Linked DNA regions of Sus scrofa. The protein of the gene in region 6 interacts with the protein of the main gene of each other region in a pairwise test. Links are inferred from orthologs where the notes say so. Each region holds a gene or a part of one and is shown on either strand. Other genes may lie near its edges. The genes, in order: TRIM9, SRGAP2, SH3BP5, TRIO, KIF5A, EXOC1 and CCDC88A.

The links.
Region 1: the proteins of EXOC1 (region 6) and TRIM9 interact in a two-hybrid assay, tested with the Homo sapiens proteins (2 studies listed by BioGRID and IntAct). The link is inferred for Sus scrofa from reciprocal best matches to the Homo sapiens genes EXOC1 and TRIM9.
Region 2: the proteins of EXOC1 (region 6) and SRGAP2 interact in a two-hybrid assay, tested with the Homo sapiens proteins (2 studies listed by BioGRID and IntAct). The link is inferred for Sus scrofa from reciprocal best matches to the Homo sapiens genes EXOC1 and SRGAP2.
Region 3: the proteins of EXOC1 (region 6) and SH3BP5 interact in a two-hybrid assay, tested with the Homo sapiens proteins (2 studies listed by BioGRID and IntAct). The link is inferred for Sus scrofa from reciprocal best matches to the Homo sapiens genes EXOC1 and SH3BP5.
Region 4: the proteins of EXOC1 (region 6) and TRIO interact in a two-hybrid assay, tested with the Homo sapiens proteins (2 studies listed by BioGRID and IntAct). The link is inferred for Sus scrofa from reciprocal best matches to the Homo sapiens genes EXOC1 and TRIO.
Region 5: the proteins of EXOC1 (region 6) and KIF5A interact in a two-hybrid assay, tested with the Homo sapiens proteins (2 studies listed by BioGRID and IntAct). The link is inferred for Sus scrofa from reciprocal best matches to the Homo sapiens genes EXOC1 and KIF5A.
Region 7: the proteins of EXOC1 (region 6) and CCDC88A interact in a two-hybrid assay, tested with the Homo sapiens proteins (2 studies listed by BioGRID and IntAct). The link is inferred for Sus scrofa from reciprocal best matches to the Homo sapiens genes EXOC1 and CCDC88A.

Annotation. Positions count from the first base shown.
Region 1 is NC_010443.5:180,827,091-180,831,836, forward strand, and holds the start of TRIM9 (E3 ubiquitin-protein ligase TRIM9), read right to left. Parts: upstream 3,163-4,746; 5' UTR 2,970-3,162; coding exon 2,148-2,969; intron 1-2,147. UniProt on the Homo sapiens protein: E3 ubiquitin-protein ligase which ubiquitinates itself in cooperation with an E2 enzyme UBE2D2/UBC4 and serves as a targeting signal for proteasomal degradation.
Region 2 is NC_010451.4:67,113,783-67,118,242, reverse strand, and holds the end of SRGAP2 (SLIT-ROBO Rho GTPase-activating protein 2), read right to left. Parts: intron 4,284-4,460; coding exon 3,900-4,283; 3' UTR 928-3,899; downstream 1-927. UniProt on the Homo sapiens protein: Postsynaptic RAC1 GTPase activating protein (GAP) that plays a key role in neuronal morphogenesis and migration mainly during development of the cerebral cortex. Regulates excitatory and inhibitory synapse maturation and density in cortical pyramidal neurons.
Region 3 is NC_010455.5:2,505,249-2,509,459, forward strand, and holds part of SH3BP5 (SH3 domain-binding protein 5), read right to left. Parts: intron 3,971-4,211; coding exon 3,751-3,970; intron 2,168-3,750; coding exon 1,907-2,167; intron 1,559-1,906; coding exon 1,350-1,558; 3' UTR 1-1,349. UniProt on the Homo sapiens protein: Functions as a guanine nucleotide exchange factor (GEF) with specificity for RAB11A and RAB25. Inhibits the auto- and transphosphorylation activity of BTK. Plays a negative regulatory role in BTK-related cytoplasmic signaling in B-cells.
Region 4 is NC_010458.4:3,907,187-3,911,397, reverse strand, and holds part of TRIO (triple functional domain protein), read right to left. Parts: exon of another isoform or gene 2,472-4,211; intron 2,138-2,471; coding exon 1,890-2,137; intron 406-1,889; coding exon 267-405; intron 1-266. UniProt on the Homo sapiens protein: Guanine nucleotide exchange factor (GEF) for RHOA and RAC1 GTPases. Involved in coordinating actin remodeling, which is necessary for cell migration and growth. Plays a key role in the regulation of neurite outgrowth and lamellipodia formation.
Region 5 is NC_010447.5:22,847,359-22,850,377, reverse strand, and holds part of KIF5A (kinesin heavy chain), read right to left. Parts: intron 2,890-3,019; coding exon 2,807-2,889; intron 2,398-2,806; coding exon 2,370-2,397; intron 1,863-2,369; coding exon 1,784-1,862; coding exon of another isoform or gene 1,748-1,783; intron 647-1,747; coding exon of another isoform or gene 640-646; 3' UTR 1-639. UniProt on the Homo sapiens protein: Microtubule-dependent motor required for slow axonal transport of neurofilament proteins (NFH, NFM and NFL). Can induce formation of neurite-like membrane protrusions in non-neuronal cells in a ZFYVE27-dependent manner.
Region 6 is NC_010450.4:55,240,933-55,244,326, reverse strand, and holds part of EXOC1 (exocyst complex component 1), read right to left. Parts: intron 522-3,394; coding exon 327-521; exon of another isoform or gene 1-326.
Region 7 is NC_010445.4:85,929,024-85,933,234, reverse strand, and holds part of CCDC88A (girdin), read right to left. Parts: intron 1,498-4,211; coding exon 1,238-1,497; intron 1,042-1,237; coding exon 579-1,041; intron 1-578. UniProt on the Homo sapiens protein: Bifunctional modulator of guanine nucleotide-binding proteins (G proteins). Acts as a non-receptor guanine nucleotide exchange factor which binds to and activates guanine nucleotide-binding protein G(i) alpha subunits.

The DNA.
Region 1 (4,746 bases), on a different chromosome or scaffold from region 6:
TTAATGGACAAAGTATAGGTTCTTCTGTACAGAAGAATAATGTTGTGGTTTGACCATCCTAATTAGCTTGTACCTCTAAGTCTTCTAGACAGGATGATTAATTTCTAAAATTCCAAGGATAGTCTTGTGGGCAATTTGAACATAGGTAATAATGAACAGTTTAAGAGCGAAATCATAATATGAAGAAAAAATTGTCCACAAACAAGTTTTTAAAATTTCAAAAATTAAATATTTAAAAATTTAAATTGAAATGTTTAAAAAATAGTGGCATGTGCCTTAGGTGGGGGCTCAAATTTGTGCTAAATTGAATCTCCATCAGTACTCATGTGGCTTAATCGGTCATAGGGGAGGCTGTAAACATGGATCACCTTCAATTAATATTGAGTTGAGCTTTCCTATTGCTAAAAATGGTGATCATTTATTTTTTCTTGCTGTAAATAAAACATTCAAGACTTAAGCCCAGGGCCTTTCTCAAAGACTAAACTTTCTAGTCTCCAAGGAATGGTGGGACACTGAGTGGGGAATAGCTGAGGCCTGAACACCATCTCTGCTGCCCTACCTCATCCTTGGGCTTGCAGCTCAATGATGTGAAGTAAACCTCCTGAACCCCTGCTTTGCCCTTTGCAACCCCGACTAAATGGATTATTTAAAAAGTAAAAGTCAAATTCATGCACATCTTCTCAAGAGTGGTTTCCTTCTTCTAAGCAGTGTGGGCAATAACATTATAAAGATCTCTTTCCTCATGAAGTGTGTGTGTGTGTGTGTGTGTGTGTGTGGTTGAGGGAGCAATAGATAAATACAAAAGTAACTTGATAATTAAAATATACAGCATGTTAGTTAGTGATAAGTACTATTGAGAAAAATAAAACAGGGAGAGAACTAGGGGATCAGAAGGTCTCACTGCAAGGGTGAAGTCTAAGCAATGATCTGAAGGAGGCAAGAGAGTGAACTATTCAGATACAGGGTATGGTCTCAGGCTGAAGGAATATCAAATGCAAAGGCCCTGGGGCCAGAAGGGACCTGGTGGTGGTGGAGGAACAAGAGGGACAGGGTGGCTGAAGCAGAGGGAATGTGAGGAAACGAATTTGATGAGAACAAACTGGAGCAGATCATGTAAGGCCCTGGTGTATCATCTAAGGGCCGTCTAGGAAAAGTGGGGGACAATTGGAGGATTGTGAAAAGAGTAGTGGCATGACTTAAGTTGTTAAAGGCCCTGTTCTTGAAGCTAGCTTTGGCAGAGGTGACATCAAAAGAGGTAAGAGATAAATTTGTTAACAGCAGTCTCAAAGTTACACAGACAACTACTGACAAAAGGAAAGGGTTGAATCCTGGACAAATGGGTGTGTGGGTGATCAGTAGGAGGGGGATAGCTGGGGATTGTGAGATGCACCTGCCTAGCTTTCAGGTCGCGACCGTGCAGAAACCTCCAGTCCTGCTACTCCCGCCCAGATAGATTCCCTCTGCAAGGGTCAGGGCCGCAGCCTTCAGGCCGCGTTGTCATGGCGACTACAGGATTTTTTTTTTTTTCCTTCAACCCACTCCCCACTCATAAGCCTTCTGCGCGCAAAGCACCCTGACCCGCATCCTTTACAGACCGGACGCGGGGTCTCGGCCAGCGCCGACGTATCAGTATTCTGTTCGTGGCTCTTTTCCCCACCCCCACCGCGACTCCAGGCGTCAGCCTATCCAGGAGCTCCAGCTCCCAGTGGTCTGCCTGCTCAGCCGCCCCCATCTTCTCCCTGGGGGATCACGGCTGGAGCCCCACAACCACCTCTGCCCTGGAGCGTCCCTGGCAGCCCCAAGCATAGCCGCGGGTTGGCCCAGTTATGCATCGTTTTCCCGCACGCTGGTGGCGGCCTAGAGCTGCCGGTCAGCTCCGGGAGTGGGCGACCTGCACCCGGCTCGCAGGCAGCGCGCCCCGGGAGACCCGCTCTACGCACCCCCGAAACAAGTCTCTAGAGAGGTTCCACTCCCCTGTGCGCCGTGTAAGGTCCCTCTGCGCCTCCTGCAATGCGCAAGGCAGGGGAAGCAGGTATTTGAGGCACCTGCATTGCGCCCCCGCTGGTATGCACTGTGCGCCAAAGGACAGTGCGAAACCAGAAGATCAGAGGTGCGGGGAGTTAGGGATGGGTTTTCTTAGGACTCACCTTGTGCAGTTTCCACATGGCCCCCAATGCCTTGACTTCGTGGCTGGAGTGCTTGCCTTCCTCTAAGCACTGGTAGCACACGGGCATCTTGCACTGCACGCAGTACATGCTGTGGTTCTCCAGCTCGTGGTCTGTACAGGTGGAGACCTTTCGCGGGCTCAGCCGCCGGCTCACCCGGCCTTGGGCCGGGGGCACCAGGCGGTGCTTGGCTAGGGGCCCCCGGGGTGGGTGGCAGCGCAGGCGGCACGGATCACAGTAGAAGACATCGCACTGTTCGCACATGACGGTGGCCTCCTTGGGCGCCTTCTCGCAGAGCTGGCACTTAAGGGCCGCCGCTTTGCTCTGCTGGTAGCGGTCAATTACCCCTTCCAGGACGCGGTTCTTGGGAAAGCCGCGGAGTCCCCGGTCATCCAGGATGAGGCTGCGGTGGCACTGGGGGCAGGTGATACAGGAGTTGCGGGGCACCGGGGCCAAGGCCGGTGACAGGTGGGTGGCCGGTGGCGGCATAGCTGGGGGAAACACTCGAACGCCGTTGGGGGACTTCTGGCACGGGGTAGTGGGGGCGCTGGCGAAACCCCCGTAGGAGCCATAGCCGCTGTCCGCCTCGCTGTACAGGCTCATCTTGTCCAGGTCTAGATAGTCATAGTCGGAGACCCCGGAGCCCGAGGCCCGTCGGCTTTGAGGGGACTCCGACTCCGGGGTCTGCACCAGGATGTTGCGGGCGCACGCCTGACATATATTGTGAGAGCAGGGCAGTATGATGGGCTCCCGGTAGAAGGAGCCACACACGGGGCATTTTAATTCTTCTTCCATCTCTTCCATGGGGACTGGGCTGGGAGCGAAGCAGCGGCGGCTGCAACCGGCGCCTGAGCTGACGAGTGGCCGACGGGCCTGTCTTGTCCAGCACCTTGGCCAGCAGCGGCGGCTGTGGCAGTGGCGCCTTTCCGTGTCGCCTAGGCGCCGACTCCTGGTGAGGCGCTCTCTCTGTGAGCCACAGAACAGCAGCGGCGCGCGCCAACCTGGGGCCGCCCCCTCCTATCCTCCTAGTCCCGCCCCAGCTTATAAACAGCGGCCTATTGGACGGCGGGCGAGAGAGCAAAGTTCTCATTGGCCACAAGGCCCGTCCTTCTCTCTCCTCCGCAGGCCACAGGGGGTTTGGTGGAGGACTCTGAGGATGTGGGGAATCTTCGCTCCCGGCTTCAAGATCTCGGGAGGGGGCCGGCGCGCGGAGGCGAGGGGACCGGGAAAGAGGAATTAGGCGGGATGACTCATCCCTCGCCTCGCTTCCTTCCGACCTCCGGCGCAGTCACCCGAGAGCGGGGCGTGAGAAACCCCTCCCCGCAGCGAGGGGGCTGGCGGAGGGGCTGGTGCTTGCCGCTAGCGTCTGCGTTTGGTTTGTTTGGTTTGCAGCTCTGGTCTCCGCGCCGACCTCCCCTCGGTTGGCACTGCGCCTCGCAGGGGACCCTCCTTTTTCCGCTGCTGGCACCGCCTCACCCAGGCCTAGGTTTCTGTACTGCAGCCGGGCGTTTCTCCCCCTCAGGAATCCGAGAAAGCCCGCCCCTGGCGCTGCCGCATCCCGTAGTCTGACGGCGCCGGCCGCGAGCCCCTGAGGGAGTCTCTTCGCTTCTTTCACCCTGTTTTTTTGCTGTCTCAAAGGTGATTTATAATATCGACTACCTAATGTTGCCATGAGATTTAAACTAGGTCATGGGTGTAAAGGTTTGGTATATTAGTTAAAAGCTTTGCCCCCTTCATTTCACGCTTTCAATTCAGGCTCGGCCCTTGAGGCTGCTTACTGTTTGGTGTGAACGTTTCTAGGTCCCCTGCCCCCTCTCAGTTACAACCACTCCCCACCCCCCGCAGCGCCCAAATCTCAGGCAGTGCCTGGCTGAGCTTTCACAAGGCCAGCAGAACCTTTGGTTCAACTGAGGCAGAAATGGGTTGCCTGAGTGCCTATAGTTTAGAAAACTAGTTCTGGACACGAAACGTTGTGTCACTGTGAAGTCTCATGTGTCTCCAAATAGACTTATTCAATGTTATGTGGCCCGAGCATCTACCACAGCTTCCAGGATGATGGTTTCTTTCCATTTCTTCAGGGAAAGTGTGTGGCGATGATGGTGATGGGGGGGGGACTAGTTCTAGTGTTAGTCTTCATATACTAAGCATGCTTCTCCCTCTCCCCAAACATTGCTGCCCCTTGCCGGTGGAACTGATTGGGTTTTTTTGTTTCGTTTCGTTTTTGTAATGAGATGTATTTATTTTGGTTTTCAATCATTAAAGTATTTTTCTAGTTCTTGAAGATGTGTCTAATTTATCCAACAAACATACACAGTAATAACATAATGGCAACAAGAAAATTGCTTTCAGGAAGCCAGATTAGGAAAAGGGGGCCAGAATGAGAAATCAGAATTTAGAGTCCTCTAATTTTTTCTTTTAAAAAGTTTAAAGACTAGTACAATGAACACCCATATTGACACTCTTCACCTGGGTTCCACTAGTCGTTAAATATGTTATAAATACCATGTTTGCTTTATCACTAATATCTTCCTCAGGCTCAACAGATCCCAGTGTTGTCTGAGACTTTTTTTTTTAAGGGCTG
Region 2 (4,460 bases), on a different chromosome or scaffold from region 6:
TTACCTTTGGATAACTTCACTCTCAAACTTTTTTTTTTTGGTCTTTTCTAGGGCCACCCCCGCCCCCACCCGGGCATACGGAGGTTCCCAGGCTAGGGGTCTATTCGGAGCTGTAGCTGCTGACCTACACCAGAGCCACAGCAATGCGGGATCCGAGCCACGTCTGCGACCTACACCACAGCTCATGGCAGCGCCGGCTCCTTAACCCACTGAGCGAGGGCAGGGATCGAACCTGCAACCTAGCTGGTTCCTAGCTGGATTTGTTAACCACTGAGCCACAATGGGAACTCCCCACTCTCAAACTTAAGAGTCTGCTGGAATCAAAATCCAGAGGAGAGAAAGCATTCCCTATGCTCCACCCCACGCCCGTACTCAACAACAGCGAGCAGCACAAACACATGGCGAAGCTCTTCCTCCAGAAGCTGGGGGCTGCCCAGGGCAGAATCACCCACGGCCTTGGTCGTGGAAGAAAGAAAATCATCAGTCCCCCTTGGTTGTGGCTGGCAAAGCTTCCAAGCAACTTCGCAGGCTCCACTCTTGCAAGTGGGGAAATCTGACTTAGAGACAGAAATGAGAACAGTCCTCCCTGAGCGGGGAGAGGTGGATTCAGTGGAGGAAATGGTTCCCATGGCAACAGGCCGCCCAATGGTGAGCAGGAAGACTTGCTACACAATCTCTTAGGTTCCCCACATGGGCTAAATGAAAATGTTGGTGGGGGGTGTGTGTGAGGAATCCACATTCTAAATGCACCTCTGCTGTGTCTTGCTGGGGGAGGGAGGAGATGGTTGGCTCCTGAGGTCACCCCATCTCTCCTTCTGTTGCTGGGCAGGGCTCCATTACCACGGACAAATCAAAATCCCTCCTGGGCAGCGGGACTCCTGGATTGGCGATTCCAGGGAGAGGAGAAGGGATATAAACTGCAGCATGGAAACCTAAAAACGTATTTTATTTCGAAGTTGTGCTTTGGATTTTCCCCAATCCAACATCTGTTGAGTGACAGTCTTAGGTTCACACAAAGCATCTCCAAGCATACATACAATATTCCAGTTATCAACACTATTTTAAAGAATATACCATTTTACACAAACGTGACATACAAGCCAGACGCCACAACATTGCAATTCCCTGGAAGATCTAACTTCTCTTCTGAACATGAAGTACATGTACACCAGCCCTTCCAGTGGTCGGTTCCTCCTGTTGCTGGCGTCATCTCTCCTCAACTCTTTGGGGAGAAACCAGGGTGTGCCCTGAGGAGGTTGGCTGAGACCAGTGTTTCCAGTTTCCAGGCTGCTGGCTGCAAACTCCTCTCTTTTCCAAACTGGGATGCTGGAAGCCCCACCCCACCTCTGTCTCCCAAAGACCAACCCATCAGAGTCCACATCAGGAAGAGAATCCACGCCTCCAGGGGCAGAGAGGGGCTCTCTGAAGCATCATGCTGGTTTAGGCAAGCATATCGGAGGAAGACTGGTCTCCCTAGGCCCTGGGGGGCCAGCTCCGTTTGGCTTTTCGGTGTAAAAATCACAGTGTGCAACCTCGATTCCAGTTGATGGCAATGAGCTCTGCCGAGGAAGGACTCTCCTCCTGGGGTTCCTAGTCCCCTGGACGGGACCCTCTCACAGGTGGCAGGAGCACCAGAGGTGGGAAGACAGCTCGACTCCCAGATCGGGGGGTAGCAGGTGACCACGCACACACTGTCCAGTTCGTGATGCACATCAGCAGACGGACCCTGACCAAGGGGACGGTGAACACAAGTCAGGTTCAGGGCTGCAAGAGAAATGAGGCAGAGCAACAGAACAGACCCAAGGTGGCGTCCCTAAGGAAGCCCTGCCTTTCCTTTCTCAAAGAAGGATGAGCTGGAGCAAGGGCAGAAGGGCAGCTATGGGCACCCATTTTGACTAGTTGGAGCAAAAGGAATGTCAGATGAAGGGTGGGGTTTCATTGTCGGCAAGGAAACAGATCCCTGGGGATGAAAGCCCCCTGTTGGCTCAGGACCTGTGTAAGTCCAGGTGACAGACAAGGACAGGCACTCAACAGAGCAACAAAAGTCAAGAATCCAGAGGACCGTGGGTTGCCTCTCACAGGCCGACTCACTGAAGGCGTTCTTCATCTCCCCCTCTTAGCTCTTGGGATGGTTTTCCTGGTGTTGCAGCCTACTCTTCTAACCAGTGACTTCCCACCATGCTCCTCTTTTCCTTTGCACAGAATGGGGAAAATTCTACTGTGTTCCACAGAGCCAACTACCAACTTCCCAATGTTGGTCCAAAAAAGGATCTTCTAGGCCAAAGATAAGAAAATTCAGTTTCCTATCCGAATGGCAACCCACTATTTTCCTGAACTGCGGAAAATAAGGCAAAAAGCACAGCTTTAAAACCAGAAAACAGAGAAGAGGAATGCATTTCAGTTTTTAACTCAAGTAGTTATCCGAGACCCAGCAGCCTGGGGTGTGAGTGGTCCCAGCCCTGGACCTCCTGGGACCGCATGATGCTAGGAGAGCTGGGACCATGGGCTTCAGATCTGGAGAGGGAATTAAAGCAGTCAAGGTGTCATTTTTGCTTTTGGCAGAGGACCCAGAAAAAAAGGCCAAAGGAAGGCCCAAATATTCAGCATCCAATTTTTAATTTTCTTCGATTCAGTCCTTGGAAAGACTTTAGAGCCCATGGGGCCAAAGTTCTCTTAGTTGTCCTTGTCTGGATAAATAAACCAATTCTAAGGGGCGATGTCTCTCTTTAATCTAACTAGGGCTCCCTAAGCCCCCACTGGTCCCTGAAGAGAGACCCTGTAGATTAACCCAATGAGGGGATCCACTGAGAGTAGATTTTCATCTGGGAACAATTTTAAGGTTAGAAAAGCTGCATTTAATTTTTAATAGGATAATGAATTTTATGTCTTAAGTACCCAAAAAAGTGGAAGGAAGAGGACCCATTTCTTACCATTTCCAAGCCTGCCATAAACACAATAAAACTCTCTTAAGACTCTTCACCCTAAAAGGAACCAACTATAAAATTGTCTTATACAGGAAAATGTCTTAAGTGGAAAATGGTCCATCAGAGACGAAGATAGAAACCCAAGAAATGTCTATACATTCAGAAAAACCTCAGAAGTTCCATAGTAGGATTGGGTTGCAGTTCTAGAGAATGGAGGAGAGCAAAAGCAAACACCAATGACCAATTCACACCGATAGAAATAAGACAGAGAGGAAGCCCCCAACCCCAAACAGATTGCAGGATTGAGTCCCATCCTGCTAAATTTCAAATGATGGAGAGATTTCAAAGGCTAGGTTCTCTGGCCCAGACAGAACAAGATTTGTAACGGAAACAGAGACCCCTGGTGGCTCCTGTGTGAACTGCCACAATAACTTACAAAGAGACTGGTCTATCTAGGACCAGGAGGCTACACATGCCAGAGACTAGAAAAATCTACGTGTGTGTGTTTGTGTGTGTGTGTGTGTGTAAAACGGAGAATGGACTGTATATGATTCTCTATAATCAGTACCCAAAACAAGATGCCACTGAGAGCTGGCTGTCCCCAGCCAATCATCTGGTTAGGCATCCCCTGTATCTGCGGGGACGGAGGCTTCAGCCCACTGCCCCCTGACTTGCCTCGCCAGATTTCACAGTGACCTGATAATGGAAAAATTTATCTCTGGCTAACCTAAGAACAGTATGTACTGGCTGGATTACAACGACTGGGGGAAGCAGAGGGCAGAGGGAAGGGAGGGGGAGGGCAGAGCGAGAACGAGGGCTCCGTTCGCAAGGTTTGGGGTGACGGGAAGGCTAAATCCTGCAAGAACAACTTAGAATCTAATTTTCAACTGAAGTCCCCAAGCTAGTTAAATAGGAAGATTTTAATAACAGTCAGTCCCTCCAGTCCCCTTGTCTAGAACAATTAAATTACACCCCTCAGACAGTACAAGACTTGTCATTGGACTGTGGGGAGGCCGAGGAGTTGACACCGGGGCTAGTGGCATTTGTTTTGGGGAAGACAGCGGGCTTGGGTCGCGTGGCTGGCGGCTTGACCGGGGCCGCCATCTTGACGGACTTGACGGGCCGGAAGGCGCAGGCGATGTCCCCAGCGGTGCTGGCGCTGCGCTGGAAGGCCGGCTCGGGGTCCTTGAGGAGCTGGGTGTGCAGGGGGCTGGAGGGCTCTGACGTGGGGGCCACCACGGGGGAGGTCTTGAGGGGCTCCAAGGTATCCAGGACCACATCCGGGGTGTGCTTGACGCTGCTCTGCCGCTCTAGCTCCCGCAGCTCGTTCAGGGCAGAGTTCATGGTCGCTTCAATATCCTGGGGACAGGAGAAGGGAGGGAGTGAGGCTCGCGCGGGGAGAGGCCCCCCCACCCCCTGGGGCGGGCGGGCGGGGGGCGCTATTTCAACAACCTGGGCCAAATCATGGAGAAACCAACTGGAAAGAGATGTCCAGATGCTTTCTTTCGGCCCCAATCTTTGAACACATGGCTGTTC
Region 3 (4,211 bases), on a different chromosome or scaffold from region 6:
TTAAGTTATTAGGATCCAGGACCCTAAGTGAATAAAAGAACAAATGGCCATTGCATTCCATGCTCTTCATTATGGCAAGAAGGTTGCCTAGGAACAGAAGATTTAGGCAACATCAGGATTTCTGATGGAAGTCAAAGAAAGTTAGACATTTTCTTAAGCCATTTTTATTACACTCAAGGTATTAAGACAAGTACAAAATAACCTCATAATTAGGATACTGTATCAATCATTAAAAAAGGAGAAAACACGATAGTATGAAGAGATTTACAAATGACAGATATATAAGCTGACAGAATTAATGGACAACTTGAATGGGGTTGCTTTTTTTTCTTTTAAAAATCGAAGTTTTAACAGAAAAGGACAAATGAAATACAAAGCTCTAAATGCATGTAACCATGAAAACAAGAACAGCAGTCACATAACATACTATTAGCATAACAGACGCCACTGCTTCTATTTAACAGCCTTTGCCAACACATGCCTACTCCCTTTCCTAGCTGGAAGGAACAGTTTCCTCTAAGAAATACTAGTGCATCATAATTTATTGTTAAAGTTACAACCTATGGAGAAATTAACACCTTGTCGATCTAGAACACTGGCAACCATTCCTCACATGCAACTTCTCTTAGAATAAGTCCCCTTGGCTGATGGGATGAGGTTTATGCTACAGAACCTTCTCCCCAACAGCCACGAACCCCCTTCTGTGACAGGCCCCTGCTGCCCTTGTCCCCCTCCCCAGACCAGCATTCACCTTTCCCACCCCCAAAAAGTGCAGCTCATGGTAAGCTTATATAGAAAATGATTTTAATGGGTGTCCCACCAAATATACTCTTCTAAAATCCCCCTCCATAAATCAGAGATAATGAACATGAACTGTGTTCTCGGATTTTTTTTTTTTTTTTTTGGAAAGCTTTCACTGGGTCAAAAAGGTGTTGAGTTTTGTCTCATGTATTTTTTTCCTTTAGATCCCAAGGGATCTAAAGGAGAAAACAGGTCATTTTCCCAGATGACCCTGGCCGGGCTCGGTTTCCCATCCCCTTTCCTGACTCGGGGTCTTTCCCAGGGACCAGTTATTGCTTCCATGACACGGTGACAAGGAACGTCCTACAAAGGCTGTGGGCCTGCTCACAGCCCACCTGCAACGACACCTCTGCGCTGAAAAACGCTCCAGCCCAAGAGCTGTCACCCAGAAGAAACATCTTCTGCCCTCAAGGTCACTGAAACGTTCTTAGTGCAGTTTAGAGGAAATGCTAGGATTTGGCATACATCAAAGGATTATTGGCACAACGCTCTCCGTACAGTTTCGTGTATAAATATCGCTGTGTGCTTAGGCCAGAGCCACGGCTGGATCAGCCGACCTGCACCATGCTCATGTCCACGAGGACCTCGTCTCTGCCCTTGGAGCCCTGCAGGGACAGCTGCCGCATCCTGTCCTCCAAGGCCCGGGCCTCGGACGGGCCACTCGGGCTCTTGCCGTTGTCACCGCCGCTGCTGCCGAGACCCCGATGACTGCCGGCTTTGTCACTCGTTTTATTTTCTGCCCCTTCTGCCCTGTCTCCTGTAGAAACGTAAAGATCAAGGCGTGAGTACCAAGCCCGTCAGCCGGCTCAACCCAGACTCTCCCAGTGCTGCTCCACCGAGCCTGTCACAGAAGCCCCTCCATCGCGTTAACGTCTCACTGCCTGTGTTTCTCGAGAAACTCCGTATATCCCTCATCTTTAGAGATGAAATCTGTCACACCCCTGTGACAGCTGGGAAACAGACCTCTCTAGCAGGTGCTTGTCAAGAGGACTATTGTGATGAGAGGCAGAAGGACGCTGATCCTGGTCAGGCACGGAGCTGGGAACCATCTCTGTCCCCACCCCAGCACGTCCCCAGCACCCCGGCATCCAGGACGGGCACTCACCTCGCTCCACCTCGCACTCAGGAGAGGAGGCCCCACTGCACTCGCTGCGAGGTCCCAGCACCGGGAACATCATCCCGAACTCCGACAGGGACACAGGGCTGGGCAGGTCCAGGCTGCCCGGCCTCACGGCCACAGGGCACCGGTCAGGCACCTCGGACGGACTTGTGGGTCCTGAGCTGAAGCTGGACACAGACTGGGTTTCCGAGTCATCTTCAGACACGAAGGTGCTGCAGTTGTCATCTTCGAAGGCCTCGGAGGCCACTAGGATGAGAGGGGACAGTCGTCACACAGGTCTGAAGGACAGCAGCCCGGCCCCTACACACCTCCAGATGTGTCCACTGCTGGAGGAGCTGGGCAGGGGCTGGGAACTGCAGGACCCGGCCACTGTGGGCACCTGATGAAAGGGACGTGGCTCGCCTGTACTCGAGTGGCCAGGCTCTGGAGCACCCTGAAGAGAAGCCGCTGGGCCCCGTGGCTGGTCAGTATCCTTCCCGTCACTTTACAGCCCCTGCCTTGGAAGTCACCGTCACCAGACCCTGCCTCATGATGGAAGGTGAATTCAGCCAAAGATACGGGGCTTTTCTTCACCCCAGTCCCCAAGATAGATCCCCAAGAGCACAGGAAGAGGGCTGGCCTGCCCAATGCATCCTAAACAAAGCCAGCCAGACTTGAGGAATCTTCCTCCGTTCTGTGGGAGCAGCAGGAGCTGCTGGACGAGACAGCTCTGTGCGGAATGTCTGCTGGGACCTCTGTCTCCCTCCAAGTAACTTGTGATCCCATAAAAGACATGCTTAGAGCCCACAGAGATCACCATTTGCCACAAAACAAAAACAAAAACAAGCCCACAATACCTTTATGTTGCTCTGTAGCTTGTGCCTTACTCGTTTTGTGGACCAGAATAAGCAAGGCCCAGAGATTCTGGTGGTTTAAAAGCTGCCTCGGCCTTAAACTATTTACTCCTCAGCCCACATGCCATCCCACGCCCTTGTCCTCCTCCCTCAGCTTTAAAAACGACCTGTGGCATCCCATGGAGGACTGGCGCCCATGAGAAGGACTGTGATGCTGGGCACAGACAGTGGGCTCAGATCTGAGAGCAAATCCTTTCTCCGCTATATGCTCTGTAGCCTCAGTCAAGTTACTGAACCTCTCTCAGGTTCATGTTCCTCTCCTCACAGGTTTACGAGATGGTGAGCACTAATGTGCTCACATCACTGATGCTCAAATTATAATTCCTTCTTTTACCTGGGGCCTGACGCGTGAACATCTGTTGGCTGAATTAAAGCCCACCTGAGGAAGGTGGCAAGAGCCATCACTCCACAGAAGGGGCAAAAAAAGGTCCCGGAGGCGGCACTGGGGGAGGGAGCGGGGGTTCTGGATTGACATAGGGGGAGCCGAAGCAACTCTCTGAGTCAGTTTCCCAGGGGTGGCCAGACACCACATGCATTGTCCATTGGGGGCTGGCACTCCTTCAATTAAACCTGACCACTGCTCTACACAGTGGACATCAGGGACTATCATGTGCCCTGCTTTACTGGGGAAGAAAGAGATAGAAGTTACATGCTTGCCCGCATCACGTACTAGTCATGGTGCAAAGGCCAGGACTCGAATCAAATCGGATTCCAAAGTCCCTATTCCAGACAACTCTTCATCCCTGCAGGACTTCTCAGAGCCTGGAATGCCCTCATATTACTTGGGGATGAGAGTGTGACATTTTCCAAACATGACCACAGAATCCTGATTCTGCAGATACACAGCAGCATCTTGGTGACTAGTGTCCCAAAACAGGGTGGGAAGGGGGTGGGGGAGAGAAGAGCAGGAGCAGGCCACATGCACCCCCAACTCACCAGAAACAGCATCGGGCTCGGGCTTGCCCCCTGACAGGTCCTCAGTGGCTGTGCTGCCCCCCTCAGCGCCGACGCCACGGCCGCGGGGCCCCATGGCACTGGAGCGCCGCCGCTCATGGATCTCATCCGAGATGGTCTCCAGGTTCCTCAGGGCCGTCTTGTACTCGCCCTTCGCCAGGGCCAGCTTGGCCTGCAGCTCATCCACTGTCTTCTTCAGCTGCTGCTCAGAGAGAGCAGGAGGCTCAGTGAGCGAGGCTGCCGGTCCATCCACCCACCCCCACCCTCTGCCTCAGGATGCTCTTGAGTGACTGACAGGTTCAAACACGCGCGCCTATCACTCCACTCTCAAGACCCCTTCCCATCAGATACAAGAGCAGCCACCACCCACCAGCTCCCAGCCTGGTGACAACTTTAAGTAGGTCACCCAGAAACCACTACTGGGAATAAACCCATCAGGGCGT
Region 4 (4,211 bases), on a different chromosome or scaffold from region 6:
ACAGGGTTCTTTGCAAGCCACGCATGTGCCCGCTGAGGTGTACACCTGTATACCTGGTATCTCAGAATATACATGCAAACCTGGGCCACGCCATCAGGCGAGCCCTGGACAAAGCCCCATGGGTCTGCTCCAGGGTAGGGGGGGAGGATCCCTGCCAGGCAAGGCCAGGCACCAGGTCCACGCCTCCTCTTGGGCCAGTACCAGCACCCCTGCCACTGCTCCCCAAGGGGCATAGGAACGCAGATTCTGGAGACACCCACGCTCACCTTCACAGATACCTTGTTGCTGAGGCCTTCCCGGGACTTGCGATAACCGTTCTCTAACTTGCCTTCCCGTTTGCCGTCTTTATCTTTTTTCTCAGATTTTTTCCTTAAACGGAGTGCTGTGTGCCAAGATGTTGACTTCCTAGGGGGAAATGACCCATTGTTAGTATTCTGCCCTCCCAGTGGTCAGCAGATGATGCCTGAAAACATCAGCGAGAAGCTGACTGATACTCCTTTAGCAATAGTTATCTCTGCTAAGGAAAACTTTTTTGCCATAACTCAATAACCAGAGATAAAGCCAACAGTTCTTCTACCAAATTTTAAGGATTAAAATAGAAAAGTGTCTGTGATGGTTTACTTTTATGCATCAACTTGACTGGACCTCAATATTTGGTCAAACATCATTCTGGGTGTTTCTGGATGAGAGTGACATTTTAGTTGATAGAGTAAAGCAGACTGCCCTCCACGGTGTGGTGGGCCTCAACCAATCAGTTGAAGGCCTCAGTGGAATAACAACAACAAAAGACTGGCCTCCCTGAGCAAGAGAGAATTTTCCTACAGGCTACCTTTAGACTTTATCTGCACCACTGGCTCTCTTGGAGCTCCAGACTGCTAGTCCACAGTGCAGATCTGGACTTGTCAGTCTGCACAATTGAATGAGCCAAATTGTTATAATAACCCAACCCCCCACCCTTCCCCTGCCCCCTCCCCACACCCTATTGGTTCTATTTCTCTGGAAAACTCTAATACAAGGCCAAAGAATATTCTTGAGAAAACAAAGTATAAAATGGGATTCTTGTACAATGTATAAGAATAAAATAGTTCCTGTATTAAGGAGGAACAGAAAAAAGGACTATCATGGAAGATAAGACCTTTGTAGCCTGAACTCAAGCCTGGATGCCCATGGGTGCAAGCTCTGAGCCCAGAGATAGTGGGCTAGAAGCAGTGCTGGAATGCTGCCCAGTCTGGGCTGCAAACCCAGCCCAGTATACTGCCGTGCTTGGGGAGGAACACAGCCACTGTCATGCCTTTGAGCCTGGTTTTTGGGGCTGAAGCTTTTGGAGGCTTAAAGATCACCATTTTGCAATGGTCCATTCCCAGGAGCCATCGGCTGGCTTCTCCCATAGCCAGAGAGATTCAGGGAAGGGCAGAGTTTGAAACCAGCACCTGAACTTAGTTTTCTTTAAAATAATGTCTAAGGCAGCAAAGTTCGTTTCAAGTGTTTCAACTGAAGTGACCTAGTAGGTATAAAGCATAATGGTAGTGGCACCACATCTATCTTTGGCTGCCGCTTACGGAATGAGCATCTTCATGGACGCACCCTCATGACGCCCAATCAGGGGTGTGGGGGCCTTGTAAAGTCCTCACCCTTCACCCCCAAACCTCTGGGAACTAAAATATCGTTGGCCTCTATCTAGTAGCTTAAAAAAGCCACATGTGTGCAAATACTTTTCTCTTATTAAAAGAACCCCTCAGAACAAACAGATGGAAGGCTACCTCATCTTCACTAAGGGACTCACCATGTACTTATGGACAAGCTTGTTTGACAGGCTTTACCCTCCAGAGCCTCTGCACTTCATTTGGGCTCGGCCCCCGCCCCGCATGGTGGCCCCAGTGGGCACTCACTTGAGAGTCCCATCGGGGTTCTCCACAATGACTGCACTGGTGTGCCCCAGGACGAAGCCCGGAATCCAGCCCTCAGCTGCGGGGCACTGGTCAGTGGCGGCTCGGAACACCAGAAACATGTTCTGTTGATTGCTGGCCAGAATTTGAACGACCTCTCCTTGATAGACGTTTATCTCATCCTCCTTCACTGCCGTGTAATCGTGTGTCACCAACATGGTGGAGATGTTGCTACTGCTGCTACTTTCACTCTGTAGAGGGAGAGATGAACAAAAAGGCAGAGGGGAACTGAAACAAGATCTGATGACAGGAAACTGCTTGGCAGCCTGTGCCATGGCATGGCGGCCCAGGGCAGGGCTCACCAGAACCCTGCACCCTTCCTCCACACTCTCTGGCTAACTTGGTGCCCCTTTTTCCATAACTGACAAATCAGGATTTCTCTAGGAAGCAATTTAGTAGCAATCTAGAAAAAAAAAAAAACAAAAAACAAAAAACCAAACAATCATGGTGATGGTGACACTTTACTTTGGAAGCATGATTATTTCGGTCTCATCATCCACGCACCAGCAAAAGCAACAGCTCATCCTCACACTGGCACCATGCCCATGCTGGGTTCTATCCATGTCGCAGTAATGTCAATGTGACCATCTCTCCCATGTTAAAAGGTATCATTAAATTAAAAAGCCGCAGAGAGTAGCTCTTTCAGTCCACCGATGATAGGTCAGATCATGGAGAAGTCCCCAAATCTGCCAGATAAAATGTTCATTGAGAACGCAGATGCCAGAATCACGTTGAGCTGCTGGCATCCTAATTTATTTCCACATGTTTGCCTTGTAGAAGAAGAATGAGCGATCGCTGAAACATCAATAAACTACTGCTCTGCTCTCAGGGACCTGCTCTGCCTCCTTCACGTGTTCCTTGGTGGAAGGCCCTCTTGTGAGCCTGTGTGATTCCAGAGTCGCGAAGGTGCTGCTGCATGGGGGCAGCCCTGGCATGAGAAAGCCTATCTTGCCCTTATCCTGGGGTCACGGTGCCACCCGATCTCCGTGGGTCACTGCTGTGTCTTTAGTGTCCATCACAGGGAATGAAATGTAGCAGGCACTCACTGCCTGTTCAGGAACTCAGTCAATGAGGAAAGATTGCAAAATTAAAACAATCATCATTTCTCAAGGCCACCTACCAGGCCCACAAGCTGAGTGGTGATAGCGGCTGAGGCAATGACATACAAATGATAGTACTTGTCCCAAGCTGTCGTTCACCGATGGACCCCCTTGTTCCAGAGGAGGAGGAGGAAGCTGAGACCACTGCCAATTCTGAGTTACATCCTGCCCGGTCCCCCTTCTCAATTGCCGGGATGTGGAAATGGCGTCAGGCACCCTGTTCCTGTCAGCTTGTTCTCAGAGGCTCTCAGCGAAGACGCCTGGACGTTCGCAGATTCCCAGTACTCCCAGGACACTAGCCTCCTCTGGGCTCTCAGACGCCTGGGGCAAGACTTGGGTTGTTGGTGTGACTGTCAGGAGGCTTGCTACACTCCTGTCAGCTCTGAGCTACTGAGTTGGCATCAGGACACACTGGAGCAGATGGCCAGCCACCGTCAAAGAGCCCGAGTGCTGGGAATTGCAGGGGCCCGGGCTGGGACTCTGGGCCTACAGTGGATGTTGAAGTTAAATACAGTGGAGTGCTGGTGCTTGTTCCTGTGCCAGCTGAGGACTCTGGTGTGTGTTCCCACCCCTTGTGGGTGCCCACGCTGCCCACGTCAGGCTTTGCACGCTCATTCATGCAATTTTACCCCTTTAGCATGTATTTTAGTATTGTGACTATAGAGCAACACCCAATAGTTTTGAGACTATAAAGCCACATTTGCTAGAAAACATAAACAAAAACCAACGGCTGTGGCATGGCTGTTTTGGGTAATATAGCATATATATAATAAAGAAAATCAGTCTCATAATTTGAATATTTTGCCACAATAATAGCAGCTATTGGTAGTTTCTGGAAACCTCCTATGTACCGGTCTTAGGCATTTAAAAAATCTCTCATTTAATGCCAGTGGGTAGAGGTTAAAAATTTGCACAGGCCACCGGGCCTCTGCAAGAAAGGTGGGCTGTACTTTTATTGCTGCCCGGGTGTGTGGGTGGGTGCAGGGAGGCCGTGTGTCCACGGGTGGGGCTGGCACAGTCACTGTCTGGGTTGATCCACAATCACTCCACTCTTGCTCTCAGCAGAACTTTCTAGAAGGTGCCCATTAAAGGAGGAAGAAGGACCTGGGATGTGGGTTAGGCACACCTTCTTGGCCGTGACCGCAGACAACTTCAAGGAAGCAGA
Region 5 (3,019 bases), on a different chromosome or scaffold from region 6:
TCCAGGGGGAACGGGAGGAGGGAGGCAAAAGGCAGACTTCGGAGGGCAGAGGTGCACACCCGGAATCCCTCCATTCGGGTGAGGGACGTCTGAAGACAATTCTCCATATATTTAGCAGTCCTTCCATTTTACCCTCCCCTGTGCTAAATGTGAGAGAGAAGGGAGGAAGAATCTATTTCTGTATCTTCTTATGACGCCAAGACATTCTTCTGCTTAAGGCTTTGTGTGTGCATGTGTGTGTGTGTGTGTGTGTGTGTGTGTGTGTGTGTGTGTGTGTGTGTGAAGGATCACAGCCCTCTAGCTCCCATTTTCCTTTTATCATCTCTTTGACTAACACCACTCAGTGTGAGAGACGCATATATGAGAGAAAGAAACATTGACCCTCCTCCCTATGGCCCCAAATGAGGAGGGTATACTATGCTTAGAAATTGCTAAATACATCATTAGATACTAGAGAGTAAGACAGAGAGAAGGGAGAGACATAGCAGCAGCTTTTGATATATAGATACAGAGTACAAAGAGATACAGAGTAAGAGAAGACATCAAACGTAGTACAGTCAAACAACAAGGGTTGAGGAGGGAGTTAGTATCAGAGACCACAGGTTTGCAGCATGCTGAGAGAAGAGGCCTCAGTCCCTCTTAGAAACTGGGGAAGAAAGAGAAAGACATTGTGAGGAACCACCTTGCAGCCCAGCTGCTGAACGGGAACAGTGTGGCATCTGTACCAACTTCGGCTTACAGTCCTGTCCCTTTGATACCCAAAACCAGACGCCACCCTCCCAGCCCCTGCTCCTCCACCCCCAGGCCTTCCTGAACTCTTCCTCCCCCACTCCTACTGATTGCTTCTCATGCCTTTCTGCCCATGTGTGCCTGGCCTATTATTCTGGGAAACCCCTGGAGAGGGCTGGGCTTGGGATGCAGTCCAGGGGGAGACTGGCTGTGTTCTCTTGTTTCTCATTCGCCAAGGATCCACAGTGGACAATAAACAGGATCCCATTGCCCAGGATTCTGGGATTCTGAGCCCTAAAGCAACCCTGGTGAGAAGCCTGGTGACACAGGAGAACCAGGAAGGAAGGTATACACTGCAGGGAGAGCACAGAGGATGGGGGATAGGACCTGGGACAGAGGCAGAGAAGGGGGCTTGGAGGTGGGCACACAGCTCTTTTCTACCTCCACTGGCAAGATGGGAGGGGAGTGCTGACCCTGCAGTTAGAGGGACAAAAAGTTAGACTTCCTGGGGCATTTTCTAATGCTTATTGGTGACATATACAGACATGAGGAATATAGGACACAGGGGTAGGAGTAAGTCAAACATCACCTTTACTGGAGATGTCTTAATTCAGAAAGTACTTGCCATCCAAAATCATTTTAGGGTGGAGGCAGAGGGATGGTTGAGATGATCTCCCAAGGTCTCCTAATAGCTCCTACATCCTGCTGTGATCTGTGTTTGGGGCTCTAGATGGACCCTGCCCTTGCCCACTTCTTTTGACATGTTGCAGTGACCCCTAGTGGCCAAAGGCAGTACTGTGACTACAACAGTGGTCAAGCTAAGGGGGGAGGGGAAGGAAGCCAGCGTGCAAAGGACATGGGGTGGCTCTGATGGAACCCCCCCGGGAAGGGACAGCAGGAGTTGAGGGACAACTATATAGTAAAAAATTTGAGATGATTTTAAAAAGCGAGAGAAACAGAAGCTGTGGGCAAGAAAGGAGGCAACCCGAGGCTGGTCAGAGAAGGGGCCTGAAACTACCTGAAAGTGCAGGTACGCAGCAGTCCATGTGGGAGATTAGCTGGCTGCCGTCTCTTGGTGGAGAGGGAACAGCTTGGCCTGGTCCTCAGCCTCATAGCCGCATGGCAGGTCACTCCTGGAAGAAGAGACCCAGCACAATCACAGCATTGTCAGCTCTGTATCAACCATAGCATTCCTGTCACTTTGCTCTCTCAGCATCCCTGTGAGATAACGAAGGGCAGCAATATGGGGGGCAGGGGGAGAAATCAAGGCCAGAGAGATGGAGCCAACTTGCCCAAGGTGACAAAGTCCCCAAAGGCAGAGATAAACCCAGGTCATCAGATGCCCATGGCACTTCCCGCAGCCTCCATGGCTGGGATGGGGAGGAGCTATGGGGGGAGAAGCTATGGGGAGGATGGGGAGGAGCTATGGGGGGACTGGAGGAGGGGACAGTGCTCTGCACTGAGGCAGCAGAATGACCAGACCTCCTGGACAGCAGGGTGATGGCAAGAGGGACCGATGGTTCTCACTTCCTCCTCCTTCCCTCAAAGGCTCCAGGGAACCTCTACGTAGGCACGAGTGAAATTTAACCCTTTCTTCTGGTCCCACCCAGAGAACCCAAGAGAAATGGGGACTGGTGTACCTATTGTCATTAATATCTGTGGTGTTTCCTGAAGAGATGATCGTCATGGAGAACACAGGATTGAAAGAAGGAAAAAAAGAGACTGGGTGTTATAACCAGTCACCCCAAACCCTCTCTCCTCCTGATCCCTTGGCGAAAAAGCTAAGAGTCTTGGGATCATAGGTGTCATCTGGGTCTGTGGCACTGTCTTCAACTACCCCATGCTGCCTCCTTATTCGGTTGGAAAAAAAGCCTCCAGAGCTGTCACTGAGGAGAGAAGGGGAAGGGAGGGGAAGGGTGGGGACAGGCAGGTGACTGGAGGAATCCACTTCTAAGAGTCCAAGACCCTGAAGGGCTACCCAGCGTTTGAGCTGTAGGTACAGGGTCACTTATTTTTCTGGTACTTTTCAACCTTCCCTGGGGATCCCACAGGCTGCTTACCTGTCTTTTTCACTCACCATTGTCCATGTTGACCTTCTGGTAGGAAGTCAAGGGGCCGCCAGAAGATGTGGCCCCACTGCTGCTACAGGAGTTTGCAAAGCTGGGTGGAGCAGGGGAGAGAGACGCCACCTCTGGCACCCACCTTCCACTGCTCTGAGGCTCACTAATCCACACTCACCCTCAGGGATGGAGCGGTTCCCCCCCTCCTCCCCAGAGACTAGAGGACAACA
Region 6 (3,394 bases):
ACTCCACTGTACCACCTGCCAGTTCAATTTCCTTTCTACCCTCAAAACAGAAACAAGACAAAAAAGCAACAAAAATACTCCACCCCAAACAAAAGAAAAACTGTGCCTCGAAACAATAAAACAAATGTAAAATAAACAGGAATAGTCACATAAACTTGTATAAATATTAATCCTTTTGGCCTCACAACTCATCGATCTGCTCTGTACATTAGGGAACTTTCCTCGTGCTAACATTAGAAAATGTCCAGCCTTTCTAGAGGACTATTACAGAAAAAAGCAATTGTGTGCGGCTGTGCATCTAGGATGGTCAGACGACCGAAGCATACCTGCAGTAGGTTCTCCTCTTCGCACAGGTGCTTATCGACCTTCTTGTAGAGGTTGTCCAGGCCTTTTTTCACCTCCTTCCCAGGATACTCTCTGATAACTTTCCGGAGCTCCTGCTTGTTAAATGCAAGCTGATAGCTTACTTCCTCCTCTCTTATACCCTGTGCTACCCGAGCTTCAACACCTTCAAAGAAATGCTGCAAGGAATGAAAAGGAAGTGGCTAAGAACTGCTGTCATTGTCACGTCAATTTAAAAACAAAATCTGGTTATAAAGTAGTATCTATTCACTGTGTAAAAATCGGACAAGTGTGAAAATATAAAGGATACAACAACCGGAGTTCCTGTCGTGGCGCAGTGGTTAACAAATCTGACCAGGAACCATGAGGTTGCAGGTTTGATCCCTGGCCTTGCTCAGTGGGTTAAGGATCCAGTGTTGCCATGAGCTGTGGTGTAGGTTGCAGATGCGGCTCGGATCCTGTGTTGCTGTGGCTGGGTGTAGGCCGGTGGCTACAGCTCTGATTAGACTCCTAGCCTGGGAACCTCCATATGCCACAGGAGCGGCCCTAGAAAAGGCAAAAAGACAAAAAAAAAAAAAAAAAAAAAAAGGATACAACAACCATCAGCTATTATCATACCTCTCAGAGATAATCACTGTTAACATTTTAGGTTTCCTTTTGGTCTTTTGATGTGTGAGTACATAAATGAGATTGTAAATTTGCATGTTGTATTTCCCATTCAATATTTTATAGGTTTTTTCCAATGAAGAAAGTTTAATGGCTGCATAAATATTCCATCCAATTACTGAACTACAGTTTGTTTATTCATTCCTACAGTATTAGGTACTTAATATTTTTCACTTTTTTTCCCTTGGAGGTGGCAAAATCTACTTGTTAAAAAAAAGTTTATTATTGGAGTTCCCATCATGGTGCAGTGGAAAGGAATCTGACTAGGAACCTTGAGGTTGCGGGTTCGATCCCTGGCCTTGCTCAGTGGGTTAAGGATCCAGTGCTGCAGTGAGCTGTGGTGTAGTTAGCAGATGTGGCTCAGATCTGGCGTTGCTGTGGCTGTGGTGTAGGCTGGCAGCTGCAGCTCTGATTTGACTCCTAGCCAAGGAACCTCCATGTGCTGTGGGTGTGGCCTGAAAAAAAAAAGTCATAATACTATAAGTTTAGTTGCCATAAATAACTTTCATACATAGGTATTTACCCACATTATTGATTACTATCCAGTATAAATTTCTAGGAGTATAATTCCTGAGTAGTATAATTGTAAGAATTCTGAAGATTCTTCATATTACACAAATTGCTTCCCAGAAAAGTTCAATCAATTTTTATTTCTGTCAATAGCGTATGAGACTGTTATCTCACCATCATCAGCATTATCATAATTAAAAAAACCTTTGCCATTTTAAAAAGTGAAAGAGGTTTACCTGTCACTACATTTTACAATTCTTTGGCTATAAATGAAGTCAACCTGCTTTTCATATGCTTAGTAGTAGTACATTCCAAACCCTTGCTTATTTATATATTGGGATCTTAGTGCTTTTTTAATTGATTTTAAAAAGATCTTTTATATTAAATATACTGACTGTTGTATTGTTAGAAATATTCTTCTCAGATGTCTTCTAGTATAATTGGGTTTTCAATATGCACAGTGATTGGCAAGCCTTCATTTGAGCACAATATGATTTAATACTGACAAGTATTAAATCCCCTCTCATTATTTTTCTCTAAAATTTTCTTAGCAATTATTATTTATTTATTCCTCATTAAATTATTAATTATTTGACAGTAATTTTTTGGACAAGCCTATTCCTGGTGCTTTTAAAAATTTGTTTCTACAAAGACTTTTTTTTTTTCTTTTCCAGGGCTGTACCCACGGCATATGGAGGTTCCTAGGCTAGGGGTCTAATTGGAGCTATAGCTGCCGGCATATACCACAGCCACAGCAACGCAGGATCCAAGCCACATCTGCGACCTACACCACAGCTAACGGCAACACCGGATCCTTAACCCACTGAGTGAGGCCAGGGATTGAACCCGCAACCTCATGGTTCCTAGTTGGATTTGTTAACCATTGAGCCACGACGGGAACTCCTACAAAGACTTTTAATTCGTTATTAAAACATACAGGAAGTAGATTGTCTTTTTGATATATTTATTTTGAACCCTACCACTTTACCAGACTAAATAATTTCAACATATTATATAGAGGTAATTATAATTCTGCCTCTCCTTTCTATATTGTTATGTTTCAGGTCTTACTGCATCTGTTAGAGCTTCCATATCAATGTTAAATAATAAAAGATCTACCAATGTTTCCGCTTTAAATTTGATTTCAAAGGGCGTGTCTCTCTGTTGCAGTGAAGTATCATGTAGGCTTTAAGTCTGGGACATACCTTTTACCCTAAAGGAGTATCTTTCTGTTCTTAAGTTTTATAAGGAATTGGCTCTATATTTAATTAAATGTCTTTTAAGTATTTCTTTGAATTGCTGACAACAGATACATCATTTTTATTTGACTCTAAGTTCAAACTGAAAACCTGTAGAAGATGACTAATCATACTTTGGCTAAAAGTCAGTGAGAAGGGGCCATTTAGATTCTACTACATTGCAAAGTTCTCTAAATCATCACTTCTTACTTGTTCTGATCAGACTTGCTCTGAGGAATGACAAGAAATGAAGAGAAAAGAAAAGGTAATGAACAAACCAACTTTTGGTTTTCCTCTTATCTTGATGCGAACTAGGCACGCAGGTTAGCCATTTAAGAGGTAAGGAATGGAAGGGTCTGGTAAAATGGAAAAGCCAAAATCTAGTCCATGCCCAGCTCTGCTACCTGCCAGTGCCAACTCTGTTCTGACTTTCAGTTGCTTCACCTGTATAATGGGGTAACACCATCTAATCCCACATCATGCTCACAAGAATTAAAAGAAGTAAAGCGTGCAGAACATCTAGTAGTGTCTTGCTTGCTGGCAACTGCAGCATCTGGGTCCCTCCTTCCTCATCCGTCCACATCAGTACGTAAACAAATTCAAAATTAGTATCTACTGTGTTATTCACACACGTACAC
Region 7 (4,211 bases), on a different chromosome or scaffold from region 6:
ATAGTGCATATGAAATGACATCATACACATTTTGTGCAATTTTTATCATACACAACCATACTCATACCAAACAGTTTGATTATCCTCAGAAACCAACAATGCGGTTTCTGTGTCCTTAGGATAGGGACATGCAGGAGTGATAAGATCACTGCTATCTACAGAAGACTGTGAGTTACTATTACTACAGTTCTGACTATCATAAAACTGCTCGTTATTTTTCCGTACAGCTTTATCCAAAGAAGCAGAAGCCTGGTCAATTACTCTGGTGACTGATCTGGGAGGCAACCCACTTATGTTACTGACTAATTCTGTATTTAGAGATAAAAATGGCTGAGATGGATAAGCCACAGTAAAGGACTCTAAGCTGTCTTTAGCTGATATTCCAAGTGCATCATTAAACATATTACTAGTGGCAAAAGTTTGGTTTAGAAAATATGACTTTTCTGCTCTTAAGTTTCTGGTCTGGGCATATGGAGACTTGGGCTTGTCTGTACCTAAATTATTTTGTGCTTGAGAGCCTACAGGATATGCTGGACCGTGAAGTGTATGAGAGGACCACGGGTATAAATGGTACTCACTAGATGCTGCAGTGATGCTGCTATCAGCAGTAGCTGGTGGTGAATCAACTGACATAGGTAGTCTACTGTCTTTTGTCAAAAAATCATGGATACTTGTCCTTCGAGTAGTTCCTTCGGCAGTAGAGATCACACTGCTTGCACGAGGTAAAGTGGCATAAGGATTACTATCTTTTGATTGTCGTGACAGAGAAGTTTCTTTTACTAACTTTATCTTTCCTTGAGTGCCTAGTGTAGACTTTCCTGAAGAACTAATGAAATAGGTATCTTCAGTCTTTTGAGGACCAGGTCTCACAAACTGTTCAGGCTTAGTTGTCCGTCTGTCATAGAAGTCTCCAGGAGTTTTTCCACTTACTGACCTGGCCAGACCACAGCTAACTGGTTTGTTTTTTCCCAAAAAGTCAGAAGATACAGACAAACTTTTCATTACTTCATCTAAAAGATTCTCTTGACTTGAGGGCTTTATCTATTAAAAAAAAAAATCAGAGCAGATTAGAGAATACAGCCATGCTTTTTTAATTCCCTGATAGAGGAGCCTGTACAATAAAAAACTGCTAATGTCCCTAAACACTCCTTAACTTAAAAAAAGGCTCTAAAGTTCAACCACAGAAATTTAACTTGTAGCGTCCATCTAAATTAGGGTTACCATAGATAAAACTCACCTGTATTGAGGTAAGCTTGTTGCTTTCTTCCAAAAACTGTTGTAGAGTAACAACTTCACTTCCAGGGGAACCACTTTTGATCTTGCGATGTGCTCGACTCTCTAGTGTTTTGTGCTGGAGCACTGGACTTGATCTGGTTTGTCTTTTCAAGTACTGGATTGGACTGCTACCACTGCTGGACCAGGCTTCATGCTCATGAAGCAGGCTAAATTCTCCACTGCTGTGGCTTTGTGGCCTGCTTTGGATATTAACTGCACCTGCTTTTGGAGTAAATGGTATGTTAAGAGTTCAATAACTGAACTGAGATTAAAACTATGTAAGTACTGACATTTGTTGACTGGATTCTTGTGAACAGTCAAACTGACTTTGACAGCTTTCTTTAGACATGCTTAGTAAACCATGTTAATCTTTCATTAGTCTAACAACTGTTCACCAGAGCCTGCTTCAAGGGCAGACTTGCCTTCACCACCATACCCAGAGCCTAACCATACAAAGCAGGCACTCAATACATCTGATAAGAAAGCGAATGAATGAATAAGTGAATAAGACATTTTAAAAAATTCAAGTTCAAATAATTGTAAAAGGCCTCACAATTTAGAACAAAACATGATTACATGAATTTTAAATTATTTGAGAATGTTAAAATCAAAAACTCTCTTGAAATGCTAAAAATTCTTTTTTAAAAATTTTATTTATTTTTTTTAGTGGCTGCACCTTTGGCATATGGAAATTCCTGGGCTAGGGGCTGAATCAGAGCTGCAGTTACGGGCCTATGCCACAGCCACGGCAACATGGGATCTGAGCCGCATCTGTGACCTATAATGTATATTGCAGCAATGGTGGATCCTCAACTCACTGAGAGAGGCCAAGGATCTAACCCGCATCCTCACAGACACTATACAGGGTTCTGAACCCACTGAGCCACAAGAGGAACTCCATTAAAAAATTGTAATTTTTGACTTTCTTCTTTTTATTGGCCATACCCATGTATGCAGAACTTCCCAGGCCAGAAGATGGAACCCACACCATAGCAGTGACCCAAGCCATAGCAGTGACAATGCCAGATCCTTAACCAGTAGGCCACCTGGGAACTCCCATTTTCTGATTTTCTGTGAGGTCTTTATTCCTTATTTGAAGGCTTCTCTGTTCATCCTAAATGAATATCTGGACTATCTGATTCTTCTTGCTTTCCACTCTTGGCATGGTGTCTATAGAGCCTCAAGATTCAGTTGAGGTTGAACTACTATACAAAATGCAAACTACTAGTTCTGGGAAAAAGCTTCCTAAAGTTTATGCTATTCCTTAAGAATGCTTATTCATTTTGATCAATTGCAAACTGTACGGATACAGCATCAGATAGAAAATGCAACTTTTTACAAGGAGATCCTGCTGAGTAGCATTGAGAGCTATGTCTAGATACTCATATTGCAACAGAACAAAGGGTGGGGGAAAAATGTATACATGTAAGGATAACTTGATCCCCTTGCTGTACAGTGGGAAAAAAATAAATAAAAAAAAAAGAAAAAGAAAAAAGTAAAAAAAGAAAATGCAACTTTCCATGGTTTCCTAATCACAGAGAATAAAGTGGGTCATGAAAGATTTTGGCTCAAGCTATGTGACATTTTATAGAAAAGAGATTTTCTCAAATTTTCAAATCAGAGAAGACTTCTTCACATTTTCAGACTATATTTTTTAACAGGATACAAGAACATGATTTTATATATTTTTTTTAGGGCTGCACCTGCAGCATAGAGAAGTTCCCAGGCTGGGGGTCGAATTGGAGCTACAGCTGCTGGCCTACACCACAACTACAGCAACATGGGATCTCAGCCACATCTGCCACCTATACCATGCCTCATGGCAATGCTGGATCCTTAACCCATTGAGTGGGGCCAGGGATTGAACCTGCATCCTCATGGATGCTAGTCAGATTCGTTTCTACTGTGCCACAAAGGGAGCCCCAAGAACATAACCATAAAGACAAAAAATAATCTTTCCTTGAAATCGGATTTTCCTGTTCACTGCAACAGAGCATTAATAAAATAAAATTACAACTGAAATAAAATGTTATAAATACGAAAAAGCAATAGGACAAATGCACTCATTATAATTTAAAAATTCCGGACTGTAGAGAAAAACCACTTTAACAAACTTTTTTTTTTTTTGTCTTTTTCCTATTTCTTGGGCCGCTTCCACGGCATATGGAGGTTCCCAGGCTAGGGGTCCAATCGGAGCTGTAGCCACTAGCCTACACCAGAGCCACAGCAACGCGGGATCCGAGCCGTGTCTGCAACCTACACCACAGCTCACGGCAACGCCGGATCGTTAACCCACTGAGCAAGGGCAGGGACCGAACCCACAACCTCATGGTTCCTAGTCGGATTCGTTAACCACTGTGCCACGACGGGAACTCCTTAACAAACTTTTTAAATCTATTAAATAATTCCTGAGTAGGAAGTATACCTTTAAAGAAAAAGGTATTAATTAGTCAATGCTTCCAGACATTTACATAAAAACTTCACCTTGGAGGCAAAAAATACCTTGAATTTTTTTTTTTTTTTGGCTGTGCTCTTGCATGGGATCAAACTTGTGCCACAGCAATGACCTGAGCCATAGCAGAGACAACACCGGATCATTAATCTGCTGAGCCACTAGGGAATTTCACACCAATTTTTTTTTTTTGTCTTTTCAGGGCTGCACCTGTGTCATAAGGAGGTTCCCAAGCTAGGGGTCAAATCGGAGCTGTAGCCTCTGGCCTATGCCACAGGAACCCCAGATCTGAGCTGCACCTACACCACTGCTCACGGCGACAATGGATCCTTAACCCAATGAGCAAGGCCAGGGATCAAACCTATGTCCTCAGGGATACTAGTCAGACTCGTTTTCCACTGAGCCATGACAGGGAACTCCCAAACTAATTCTTTATATGAGCTAAAATGCATCTACCTGGCTCTTGCTACACTTACAGGTCCAC